3 linked regions of the Saccharomyces cerevisiae S288C genome follow. The protein of the gene in region 1 interacts with the protein of each later gene in a pairwise test. Each region holds a gene or a part of one and is shown in the gene's direction. Other genes may lie near its edges.

Region 1 (4,290 bases):
TGTTTTTTGTAGATGAAGAGGCTCAGCAATCGCCGGATCTAACCAAAATAAAAAGAGTATGTATCGAGGAAATCGCAAGGCCAAGAGAAGTTGCGATAGAGTTCGATCCTATCTTAACAATTGGAAAGGTTGAACTTAGCGTTTCCGAAGGTAACGAAAGCAAGGAAATTAGTGTTGACGTTCCAAATAAGGGTAATAAGACATATCATCCATTTGCTGGTTACATTTCCAACGTATTACATGGTATGCATACTAGCGACTCGGACAATGATGAACTAGACTACGAAATAGAAACAGAGAATAATAGTGAACCTTTATACGAATCCTCAGCAAGTTCTGAGGTTGATCAAGGGTTTAATTATGTTGGCCAACGTCACAATTCCCGAGCTGACAACAATCTTTTACCAAGCCCTAGTCCGCAGTTGACAGAAGATATAAAATGTCTTTCAATAAATGGTACCAAAACATTCGAAGGCAATAATGATAATCTGCCATCTCCTGCTAGCGAAGAGTTAGAATTTGGATTCAAAGAAGAAGATTTTGTCATAAATACTAATGACATAGTGGTCTCCAATATAAGAATGGGCGGAGTAGACAATTCATATTATCTACGGTGTTACAGATTACTGGGAGATTACGACTTTCATTGGATTGACCAGGACTTACTCACAGACTTCGTTGTAGACGAGTTAGGTCTTCCTGAAGATAGATTACCTGCATATTTGAATTTTATTAAAAATTCTCTTATACCAAAAATTGAACCAGCTGAGCCAACCTACTCAGATATTCCGATTTCTGATTCGAGTGATGAAGGTGACAGCTATGAAGGCGACAGCTATGAAGATGATGAAGATATGGCCTCCTCGGTTGTGCATAGCGACATTGAAGAGGGTCTGGACGACCTAATTGCATACACATTGAAACATGATACAGAAAGATTCAAAACATTTGAAACCAAGTCCTTGGAAACTAAGGGTAAAGGTAAGAAGAAGAAGCTACTCATCGATGACGCCTTAGCGCTGGATACAGAAACGTTGGAGACGTTACAAAGTAAGTTTAGTAAACGCATAGAAACCAAAGCAAAGAAAAGAAAAGCCAAAGAAGATTTCATTGATCAGGAGAATAGAAATTCGAACGATATGCTCAAGAAATACCCATATGGACTCCATATTCAAAATATTAAAGATGAATTTGAGTCCTTTTTGTCTAGGAACAATGATAGACTGACTTTCCCTCCATTAGATCCTCATGGAAACAAGACCGTAATGAAAATTGCGAAGCATTATAATATGAAGAGTTCAAAAATTGGGAAAGCAAATCATACGTCGGTTGTTGTAGAAAAAATAAAGAAAACGAAATGGTCTTCTCCGAATTATAGTCTCATTGACCAATTGATGAGGCAGAGGCCAGTATTCATGAGAATAGATATAAGAAGACCGAGGGAGGAACAAGCTGCTTTCGAAAGAACTAAAACAATCAGAGGGAAATTTCATGTTAAAGAAGGTGAGATTGTTGGTCAAAACGCTCCAGAGATTGGAAACGAAAATATCGGTAGAAGAATGTTGGAAAAGCTTGGGTGGAAAAGTGGAGAGGGCCTTGGTATTCAAGGCAATAAAGGTATAAGTGAACCAATTTTTGCCAAAATTAAAAAGAATAGATCGGGTTTAAGACACAGTGAAAGTTAATATTTTCCAAGCTTTTAATCCTCATTTTCTTAACAATTGCGTATATACATATTTTTTTATTTTCTAGACTAGACCATGAAAAATCTATGGTAATATACACATACGGAGTTTTAGGTACAACTTCTCGTTACATATCCAATTCAATTATCGTAACTGTAAATAACATCTTCTTGTGAAAATTCGCGTTGCGCGACGTGAGGCGTTAGGCAATTTTTTGTGGAACGTTTATAGTAATAAAACAACTAATAACGTTAACGTTCCTCGGGAAGAAATCTACACATACAAAAAATAATCACTAGTAAATAGTGACAGGTCTTTTGTACATCATGACTGATTTCGATTTAATGAATTTTCCATTTCATGAGCGTTTGGATTCTCCTGTATCAGAGAATGGGGAAATTAAAGACGGAGAGCCAATCCCACAAAACTGGCTAAATGAAAATCATGTCGGAAAATCCATCTTACCTTTATTCGTTAACCCTGAAGATGTCATCAATTGCAACTTTTCCAATGCTAGAGACTCATATGAAGAGAACAAATCACCATCTATGGATCAAATGAATTATGCTAGAAATACTAGTTATCAGGAATCTCCAGGATTACAAGAACGACCAAAAAACGAAAAAGATAAGTCTCCCATAGGTACTGATGTTCATAAAAAGGATGTACCCAATTTCATACACTCTACTCCTAGAGAAAACTCTTCGAAGCATTTTACGAGGGCAAATGAACAGGCTTCTGCTCAACCAACTGATGAACATACATCGCCAGATATCTCGATAGAAGACTGTAACGGTGCCAAAATTTTTCTACAAAACTCCTTATCGAAAGAGGATTTTCGAATGTTAGAAAATGTGATACTGGGGTATCAAAAAAAAGTTATTGAATTGGGTAGAGATAATCTAAGACAAGAGGAAAGAGCAAACTCTTTACAAAAGGAGCTCGAAGCAGCTACGAAGTCAAACGACAAAACCTTAGATAACAAAAAAAAAATTGAAGAACAGACAGTATTGATTGAAAACCTAACAAAGGACCTTTCGCTGAATAAAGAAATGTTGGAAAAAGCCAATGATACTATTCAGACAAAACACACTGCATTACTAAGTCTCACTGACTCCTTAAGAAAGGCCGAGCTGTTTGAAATACCGATTGGTATATTGTTTTTCGATTTGTATGACTCGGAGGAAAATTCTTCAAAATTAGATCACATATTACAAGAAAAATATCCTAATATTAAAGGGTTTTTATGTGCATCACAGCAAGAAGAGCTGAGCCGCATTTCTCAGCGATTTAAAAATGCAAAAGCAGAAGCTGAGGATCTCCGAAATGAGTTAGAGAATAAAAAAATTGAAATCCAGACCATGAGAGAAAAAAATAATACTTTAATTGGTACAAATAAAACCCTTTCCAAACAGAACAAAATACTATGTGATAAATTTGACAAGTTGACAATCGATGAGAAGGAAATTTTGAAAGGATGTAATGAGGAAATAAAAATTAAGCTGGAAAGGTTGAATGAAAGACTAGGATCATGGGAAAAAAGCAAAGAAAAATACGAAACATCATTGAAGGATAAAGAAAAAATGCTAGCAGATGCTGAAAAGAAAACAAACACTCTATCAAAGGAACTGGATAATTTGAGGTCGCGATTTGGAAACTTAGAGGGAAATACTTCTGAAAGGATTACAATAAAAAATATCTTACAGTCAAGGCCCGATATTTCGGCAGAAGAATGTAATTTCCTTATGGTTGAACAAATTGATTCAGCAAATTTGACGACTTTACAAAATACTGTCAAAGAAATTGTTTTGGCTGTTGGTATTCCTTATCCAAAGTTAAGGCGAAAGATTCCGTTGCTGGCTATCAAATTGAAATATGAAAACATCATGCTGTCCAATTTTGCTCAACGTCTGCATAGACAAGTATATAGTCAAGAAATGAATCTAAAGAAATTTACGGATCAAGCATACTATGATTTTATGTCAACGCGCAGGATGGATTCCATAGATCACCATTTGGAGAGGTGTCTGGACCATCTGTATGATCATATCCTGGAGAAGATGGTGAAGTAATTTTTATTAACGGAGTCAATAGATAAATTGTTGTAATTGTAACTAAAAATTAAGGTATAAGATTAAATTATATTCTAGGAAGTATGTATAAAATATTCATTTGTTGTAAAATTGGAGGGCTTAAGCGGCCAACATTTTATGTTTACACTTTTTCTTGTTTTAAGAATAGAAAAAAAATATACGTGAAAAAAATTTGAAGTCATCGCAAAGTAGCTCTTTTTACATAGTAAAAGTCTGACCAGCCAAGAGTTAATATCAGTATAGTGATATCCTACTACTTCAAAAATAACGGATGAAGACCTGCTACTATGAGCTTTTAGGGGTCGAAACGCATGCTTCTGATCTTGAGTTAAAAAAAGCTTACCGTAAAAAGGCCCTACAATATCACCCAGATAAAAACCCAGATAATGTTGAAGAAGCCACACAAAAATTTGCTGTGATTCGAGCCGCTTATGAAGTACTGTCTGACCCCCAGGAAAGAGCATGGTATGACTCACATAAGGAACAAATTTTAAATGATACTCCACCAAGCA
Region 2 (4,768 bases), on another chromosome or scaffold:
ATTTGTAAGGCAGATGTACCTGTGGTTGTACTATGCAAAGAATTACAATTTGGTGTTGGTGATAAAGGTAATCTTGTCAACCCCAAATCAAACAATTGGTCATCCACATTGGAATCCAGAATGTTATCTGATCTCGAAGCTAACAAGGGAATTCTAGAGTTATCCAATTTGGAGATAGATTTAGTTATTGATGAATTTAATTGGATGGTAGTCGGTGAAGAGCCGTATATGTCCTGTTTATTTTCGTTGTCCTTAGTTAGTGTGCTAGTGCTATTGATGGTATCCTGGGGGGTTTTAATAAATAATTTTTTATTGTTAGATCTTAGCGGCGTTCTCTGTAAGATGTTGTTGGCATTTTCCAGCCCTATGGATGTTGCATTAGTGGTAATATCCTTTCTTGCCTTCTGAAAATCCACTAACGCGCTGTTAGACGATATCAATGCTTTTGCATAAGGTGTACCGACGTCATTCAGAATTTTTCTTCCATATGGTGTCAACGACAGGGAGGAGAACCTTTTTGATGGAGATGTCGGCAGCGGTTGATTGAACATGAGATTCATGTCAATCTTACTCAGAGGAGTGCGTGAAAATGCGCCGGTGCATGAAGATGAGGGTGTTTTTCCATTACTCTTCAAAAGATTGTTCAAATCGACATTGCTAAAAACATTCTGTTGTTGACCTGGGTTCTCTGTGGTGCTTTGCTGAGCACCGTTAGAATCTGTTACAAATCGAAGTGGTGTCTTTGCCGGAGTTTTGTGAAAGAAATTGAAATTGGTGGACGGAGAGTCCAACAAAAATTCTTTGAATTGCTCTGGGGATGCAACCAAAAATTCGCTGGGTAAAGAGTTGCCGAACTGCAAAACAGAAGAAGGTTGAACGTTGATATCGTCCAAAGTCTCACTTGTATCTGTCCTTGTGACAGCAGGAGGTACAAGTGAACCTAGAGCTTGCTGTTGTTGTTGTTGTTGTTGTTGTTGTTGTTGTTGCTGTTGTATCTGCTGATGATGCGGTAATATACTGTTCTCTACCAACGACGATTCGTTGCTCGAACTGTTGTGAGCGTCTGTATTGGCAAAATGATCTTGAGTCTGTTGATACTGATTAGAAGAATAGGGCGTGGGGAATTGAGTCGTTGTAGGTAACGGACTGTTAAAATTATATTTGAATTCTGACATTACCTTCAAAAAATTTGTATCTGCATTATTGTCCGTAGAGGGCTGTCTTGAGGAAGTTGCAGTTGCCCCAGTTGAGGTATAATTTTGCTGGTAGCTTATATCTCTGTCCATAGTTGGAATCAATGCTCTATTCTGACCAATTTATTCCAATTTGGACACTTTTTCCACCCACAATGCCGATGCCAAATATTCAGAAGATCCTTGCAGCTCCTTAAGGCTCTGTCCTATTTGTTTTGTTTTGTTCTTGTTTTGTTGTTTTTTTTTTTTGCGTCCCGTTTCTTTTCGCGAGGAGGGTTACGCCAAACGCCAAAAGGCTTATGCGGGTAGTGACCTAAACTTGTTTACTGGAATGCTATTAACGATGCACAACAGATAATGAATAAATACAGATGAGTATCTAGGATGCCAGAAGTGTTCAACAATATTCAGGTGAAAAAATTGCCGACTAGGTTGAATAGTAAAAGCATACCGAAATGGATATGGATACGCAGGAGGCAGAACTATCGAGCCAGCTGGAGAATCTTACAATAAATTCACCACGAAAGCTACGCTCGAACGCGCACAGTAACAGTGGTAAAGTGTTTAAGGAATATGAAAGTAACCACGATTTTCAAGATTCAAATTTTACTTCCCAAGTTGTGGAACCTGCAATATCCGATTCTGTCAAAAAACCTCCTACAATGACAGTTTTGAACAACTATAGCACGGTGCATCAGAAAGTGCCGTCAGGTTTTTCAGGCACGACTGCTACATCTCATCAAGAAGCTCAATGGAAGCAGTATTTCCCTGGTATTGGTAGCGGCGGTGGTACCAACTTTGGTGGCGCTGTTGGTACTGCAAACAAAGTTCCTGAATCGGATCTCATTGTGAGCGACTTGGTTAAGGATTTATCTGGAGTTCTTGAAACAAATACATTTAAAAGACATTTAGATATGAAGAATAAAACTACTACTATGCAGACCCATGAAAACCATGATACGATTAGTATTTCACATTCTAAAGATTTCTTTAACGCTGAGAAGGTCTCATCGTCGTTTTCTGATGACAGCGATTCTGGCCCAGCAGCTGAGGCACATGATGTATTTGATGGCATATTACAAAAGCAAAAATCGAATTATTTGGTGGGTTCTTATCCAAGTAATAGCAACAACAAAAACAATAATAATAATAATAATAATAATAATAATAATAGTATTAATATTAATAATAAGGATAACGCTAGAACGAAGGAGGAGGACGAAGAGGACACTTCCAATTCTTTTGAATTTTCATCATCGTCATCCATGTCGTCCTCTCAAACTCAATCAGGCAGAAAATCAAAAGTTCTCAAGAAACCTCCATTGAACACTATTTCACCCGGTCAATTGGGATATCAGTTTAACCATACACACGGCGCATGGGATCCGCCGCTGAACCAGGGCTTAGATGTGTCGAGTTCACATTCTCTGGACAATACATCTTCCAACCAGTCCCAGTTCGCCACAATGGTACCAACTGGAGATAATCACACTAACGGTAAGGCACCTTCAATTCTAGATAAGAAGGCGTATGAATTAACCAGTACCAAACCAGGTGATGTTGGCTACCGCCAAAAGAAAATACAAGAAGAAGAAAATCTAGCAAATAGCGATGACACGCCCCTAGACACACCAAAATTTAATGACCTTTTTACGAAAAATGGCACTAGAGCGAAGGTTAAAGGACAAATGCGTACCTCTCGTTCAATCTCTAATTCCAATCTACTAGAAGCTCACAAGAAACTAAAGACCTTCCCCGCTGAACGGGTTGAAGATATTACGTCCATTTCCGAAGTAAACACCTCGTTCAACGAAACTGAAAAGCAGCTAATATCAATCTTGACTAGTAAACTATCTGGTTCTCCAAGCTATGATTCCGATTGGGAAAAAATCCTGAAAGTTGACCTATCAAGGGGCAAACTGAAGAATATGTTTGGCATGCAAAGACTACTACCGAATGTATTAGTGCTAAACCTTAGTGACAATGAAATGAACACTCTAGAAGGTATACCCTCGAACGTTGTACAGCTATTTTGTTCAAACAACAAAATAACGAGCGCACATTGTTCATTAGCCGGATTCCACGATCTGGAATGCCTCGACTTATCGTACAACCTCTTGAATACAAGTTTAAAATTTTTGTCACTTTGTCATCACCTGCAAGAGGTGAACCTTTCTTACAACTCCATCCAATCCTTAGAAGGGATAGGATCCTCCAGGATGAAAAAACTGAACCTTTCTAACAACGAGATTAATGGTATCATCGATTTCGAACAATTGATACTAACAAACAACTCTGTCGTGGGCGGCTGGTTGACCGTGGAAGTCTTAGATCTAAGCAACAATAACATAATTGGCGTAAGAAACATCAATTGCTTGCCCCGCCTGAAGGTTTTAAACCTCAATGGTAACCCGCTAGTTTCCATCGTGGAATCTTCTAAGATGGAGAACGGAACGTTGAGAGCGCTTTCCATCAAAAATACAGGAGGCGCGCTATCCAAATTACAAAATTACAAGTTGGATGATCAATTCACGTTCCCCTACCAAAATCTAAAGATTCTAAAACTGGACGGCTTCGCTCAACTTAGCAAATGGCAAAAATGGCCTGCCACTTTGCAAATTCTGGAGATCAACGGCGGCCTGGCCTCCTCTTTGCCGCGATTCTCTTCTCTAAAATCCACCAACTTATATTCTCTAACTATAGCTAATGTTAGAGACTTCACACACTTACCAGTGGACCTCTCCAAGGAACTACCGTTCTTGCAAGAGCTACATCTGCCAGGCAACAACCTACAAAACGCACACAAGTTAACAAAAACTCTCCCACGCCAATCAGTAAAATTTCTTGATCTACGAAATAACCCAATCACGACACCACGCCACGATCGCGCCAGCACGAGCTTGCATTACCGGCAGTTGCTCCAGCTTGCTGGCCTCTGCCAGCAGCAATGTCCCGCCCTGGCGACCCTCTGGTTAGATGACACTCCTGCCCCAACTGCCACGAATCTGTAACCCCATAACTATACCCGTACGCAGTACTAAAAATGTATGTAATTAGTAAATGTATGTAACAATTTCACCGTTTTGTGTAACAATTCATTCATTCATTCTTTTGATCCTTTAGTACCGTCCGCACATGATGTCATTTCCCCCTCATTTTTGTTTGCTGGTATGATTCCCCGCCCGGGCGACGGTACGGCTGTTATCCAGCGATGCGGGACTTCCGTCCACAGGTATCTTTTTCTCCAACTCCAACAGAGATGGAAAATGAGGGGCGGGTGTAGGTAAGCAGAATGAGGAGAAATTTGTAATGAAAATGGAAGTTCGGCGGTTATATAAATGGGGGGGGTTTGTCGGTGACAATTGACTTCACTCTCCTTTCCTCAAAAATTCTTGGGTGTTAGGATTAGAAGTATCTGGAAAACCAACCAAGAAAACTACAATAACAAAAATAAATAAAGCATGTTCAGTAGATCTACGCTCTGCTTAAAGACGTCTGCATCCTCCATTGGGAGACTTCAATTGAGATATTTCTCACACCTTCCTATGACAGTGCCTATCAAGCTGCCCAATGGG
Region 3 (4,449 bases), on another chromosome or scaffold:
ACTCGATCCTGTCAAAGATTGTTTAGATCACGATAGTAGCTTATCACCAGAGGATGTCACGGTGGTTGACATAATTGGAAAAGACAAGACTCGAAATAACAGCTTTTATTTTCCAGGTTTTGTTGACACGCATAACCATGTCTCGCAATATCCAAATGTCGGCGTATTTGGGAATTCTACCCTGCTGGATTGGCTAGAGAAGTATACCTTCCCCATAGAAGCCGCACTAGCAAACGAAAATATTGCGAGAGAAGTTTACAATAAGGTAATAAGTAAGACGCTTTCTCACGGTACAACGACTGTGGCTTACTATAATACCATTGATCTCAAGTCCACTAAGCTCTTGGCTCAACTAAGCTCCTTATTGGGGCAGCGTGTTCTTGTTGGAAAAGTGTGCATGGATACCAATGGTCCCGAGTATTATATTGAAGATACTAAAACTTCCTTTGAAAGCACTGTGAAAGTTGTTAAGTACATACGGGAAACCATTTGTGATCCCCTCGTAAATCCTATAGTGACACCAAGGTTCGCGCCCTCTTGTTCTAGAGAACTAATGCAACAGTTGTCCAAGCTAGTCAAGGATGAAAACATACACGTTCAAACCCACTTGTCGGAAAATAAGGAGGAGATACAGTGGGTTCAAGATTTATTTCCCGAATGTGAGAGCTATACTGATGTATACGACAAATATGGGCTGCTCACAGAAAAAACAGTATTGGCACATTGTATTCATCTAACAGATGCCGAAGCGCGTGTGATTAAACAGCGTCGCTGTGGTATATCTCATTGTCCCATTTCCAACTCCTCTCTGACTTCTGGAGAGTGTAGGGTTCGATGGTTGCTGGACCAGGGCATAAAGGTTGGTCTAGGCACCGACGTTTCAGCCGGTCATTCTTGTAGCATACTCACCACCGGAAGGCAGGCCTTTGCAGTTTCAAGGCATTTGGCAATGAGAGAAACTGATCATGCAAAACTTTCAGTCTCCGAGTGCCTATTTCTTGCTACAATGGGCGGAGCACAAGTCTTGCGTATGGATGAGACCTTGGGGACTTTTGACGTCGGTAAGCAGTTTGACGCTCAAATGATCGATACCAATGCTCCCGGCTCAAACGTGGATATGTTTCATTGGCAGCTAAAGGAGAAGGATCAAATGCAAGAGCAAGAGCAAGAGCAAGGGCAAGACCCTTATAAGAACCCACCGCTGCTTACTAATGAAGACATAATCGCAAAATGGTTCTTTAACGGTGATGATCGCAACACCACTAAAGTTTGGGTAGCCGGCCAGCAAGTCTACCAGATTTAGTTGTATATGTTTAGAGGGCTACTATATCTTGTTCCAAGTATTAATGAGTAATTTGAGTATATGTACAAATTTCTTTTGCGTATCGCGCTTTAGCCGCCCATTGTACAATATTAAGATTAGGAACACAAAGAGATTTGCCAGTGAAAGAATTGCAAAACTCGGTTTGGGATTTTGAATGGGATAGTTGAATACAACAAACTTCTCCGAATATGAATCATTGGTTAGCATTTTTGAATAAGCCTGAATCCCTAAAGGAACAAAACTCGGATTGCGACCAGCAGGGGGAGATGAGACATGTTACTGATGGCACTTTAACTAAGTCTCCAGAAAGTAAACCTTTTCGAGAGCGGCGTTCACAAACTTGGATAGACTCTGAAGTACCTACGTCCACTGAAAAATCTAATGTGCAGGAAAGTATTTCTTCTGATATTATATCAAAACTGTCGAATAGGCGTTCCCGAAGAAACCGCTCAGAGAGTTGGGCAGGTTCAGAAGCCTCTTCACCTTCTGGTAACATTAGTACATTGGAAAATGCTACGGAAAAAAATACTTTAAAATCGCCTAATAAATTTCTACAAAGGGGTGGTTTACCAACTGTAGGAATAGGCTCGCAGGCTCTGTCACCTGCAGGAAAGCCCAGTACATTAGGAAATGTAAGCCCTGGTAAATTTACCACATACAAAGTACACAATAGTATTGAAGTGAATAGATTTTCTTCTACACCTACAAAGCTCCTCACGAATCCCCACAAAGTCGCAGCAATCTCAAATGATGAGCATTATGTTGTAAGCAATGAGAGTCTGGAGGAGAATATAGAGGTTGCGCATCTAGAGAACGTATTTCGCTCATCTAAAACTCCAGATGAAGAACAGTCCGAATATATGAAATTAGGAGAAATTAGGCTATCTTCTTCATCATATGGAGGAAGTATTTCTAAAGAAAATAGTTTACCCAAGGTATTAGATGAGCTCCAGTCCCAAAATGAAGAGATCAAAGCACTAAGACAAAAACTAGAAGAGAAGGATGACAGGATTCAAGAACTAGAAGAACTTAATAGCATGAATGATGCTAAACTTCAAAGAATAGAAGACTTGCAGAAGGAATTCCACAACGAAAGAAAAGCTGCATCAAAAAGGCTCAACATTGTTCAGGACCGGTTTCGCAAAGAAATTAAAAAAATTAGAGAAGAAAAAATTACAGACTTTCAAAACAAAAACGCTAGCAAGAAGGAGAAGAATGAAGTGACTAGTGCCAAAACTAAATGTAAAGCTTTTTCTCAAAGAAATATTTTAGTTTCGGAACTATACAGGAAGCAAAAACAAATCCTAAACTTGCAGCAAGAAAATGATAAATTTCTAAAAGATATTAACGAATCGAATAACTCTATAGTAAAATTAAGATCTGAAGTTGAAATACTGAAAAGCAATTTGCAACTTTCTCAAGATGAAAATAAAAAATTACATGATAATGGTTCGTTTTACGAGAAAAGGTTAAATGATGTTTACAGCTATATGCAAAATCTTTCTCTTTTTGAGAAAGACCTTGGTAAATTCATACTAGAAGAAATGAAATGTGGCCATTCCCCTTCGATGTTTCAAAACGGTTTTGCCAAGCTTTATCCGGATTTTCAAGATATCAAAAATCTTGAAAATATGGAGCAATACAAACAATTAAAAGGAAAGATAGAACTTTTGGAAAAGAATGACCGTATACGTCTTGAAAAAATCATTTCTGTCTTTAAATTGATTAATGAAAGATTACATTTTATGCAACAGCAGCACAGTCACAAAATAAAATATCTTCAAAAAGAGGCGTTAACAAAAGAACAACAATTTCGTTTGGAAAAAAGGAGATGGCATGATATCCTGAACCTCAAGGAAGAAAACTTTCAAAAACTGAAGAGCGAGTTAAAAGAAAAATTAATACTAAGTGAAAAAATTCAGAAAAATGCCGAAGATAAATTGAACGATTACATGAATGAACACCAGGAAATTGTTGAGAAACTTCAGAATCAGGCTTTGATTGCTTCAAGATGGAGCACTCAAATTCAAGAGTCAGAAAACACACATAAGAAAATTACTGACGAGTTAGCTGGAAAACAAAGTGAAATATTAAAACTCGAAGAAACAATTCTATCACTAAAAGAAGATGTATTCCAAGAGAAGCTGAATTTAAAAAAACTATATGGTGATCCTTCTACCGAACTTAATTTTGAAACTGTTGGAAAATCTTTTCCACATATAACGAAGGAAAAGTACGACTCCTTGGGTCTTGATATTCTGACAGACCTTACCTATGTGCAATCGCAAAATCTAATCAAAAATTTATTAATTGTGTTGGATATCCCATTAAAAACCTTCTTAAAAATTGTACCAACAATTGTCATTCAACTTAGATGTGAGCTTACACTTCTCACAAAATTTGCTAATGATTTGAACCTTAAGGTTTTTGGTAAACAGTTAGATTTCAAAAGTAGAAGAAAGGTCGCAATGAATGAGTTTTTGAACAATCATGATATTGCTGAAGTAAAGCATCCTCTTGAGTATGATTTGCAAGCGTTGTTTAAATATTTCTTTTCTTAGCTTTTTTTTTTTTATTTAGAACTAATATATTCAATGGTGTCATTAATTATTATTTAGAGAATAAGTTACTGGTGGGGGGTGCACCTAAAATAAAGTCACATAATATAGAGCATGGCAGATATTTTACCGCTGGTATTGCTTTTCCGAAATTTTGGTGGAATATTCTTCTGAAAGATTTCAATTTGCTAACAGACTTCTTAAGCACTTACAAGAACAATGTAACTTCTGATCTGCTGTTGGAGATGTTCTGAGATATAAACAAAATTTACATCAAAAGGCGAGTAATACAATGATACAAATGATTATAAGTACATACTAATGTTACAATTTCTAATTCCATTTTAGTCAGAATATACTATGTTGTATAATAATAAAATAATGTCCATTTCCATAGCATACTGGTAAGATTTTATTGAAATAGGCAAAGAAAAAAGCAAAGAACTCTAATAAGAACGACAAACCTCGAAATCTGAGGGGAAGGAGAAGAAAAAAAGGAAAATGAGGGGAAACTTACAGTTTCTGCCTATTATTTGTTTATTTCACCTTGTATGACCGTTGTGGTCG

Evidence for each region. The genes of interacting proteins can lie anywhere in the genome.
Region 2: the proteins of CNM67 (region 1) and NUD1 interact in a two-hybrid assay, tested with the Saccharomyces cerevisiae proteins (2 studies listed by BioGRID).
Region 3: the proteins of CNM67 (region 1) and ADY3 interact in a two-hybrid assay, tested with the Saccharomyces cerevisiae proteins (2 studies listed by BioGRID).

What each region holds. Positions count from the first base shown.
Region 1 is NC_001146.8:222,191-226,480, reverse strand, and holds CNM67 (Cnm67p), read left to right. Parts: upstream 1-2,011; coding exon 2,012-3,757; downstream 3,758-4,290. Other genes in the region: SQS1 (Sqs1p), read left to right, coding at 1-1,685; JJJ1 (Jjj1p), read left to right, coding at 4,050-4,290. UniProt on the Saccharomyces cerevisiae protein: Involved in the pathway that organizes the shaping and sizing of the prospore membrane (PSM) during sporulation. Required for the proper formation of the spindle pole body (SPB) outer plaque.
Region 2 is NC_001147.6:1,035,186-1,039,953, forward strand, and holds NUD1 (Nud1p), read left to right. Parts: upstream 1-1,648; coding exon 1,649-4,204; downstream 4,205-4,768. Other genes in the region: NDD1 (Ndd1p), read right to left, coding at 1-1,286; aldehyde dehydrogenase (NADP(+)) ALD4, read left to right, coding at 4,655-4,768. UniProt on the Saccharomyces cerevisiae protein: Involved in astral microtubule organization by binding SCP72 to the outer plaque in a cell-cycle dependent manner. Required for the mitotic exit by facilitating the binding of TEMP1 to CDC15.
Region 3 is NC_001136.10:25,839-30,287, reverse strand, and holds ADY3 (Ady3p), read left to right. Parts: upstream 1-1,512; coding exon 1,513-3,885; downstream 3,886-4,449. Other genes in the region: GUD1 (guanine deaminase), read left to right, coding at 1-1,303; GTPase-activating protein LRG1, read right to left, coding at 4,412-4,449. UniProt on the Saccharomyces cerevisiae protein: Involved in the pathway that organizes the prospore membrane (PSM) during sporulation. Mediates the assembly of the DON1 ring structure at the leading edge of PSM during meiosis II.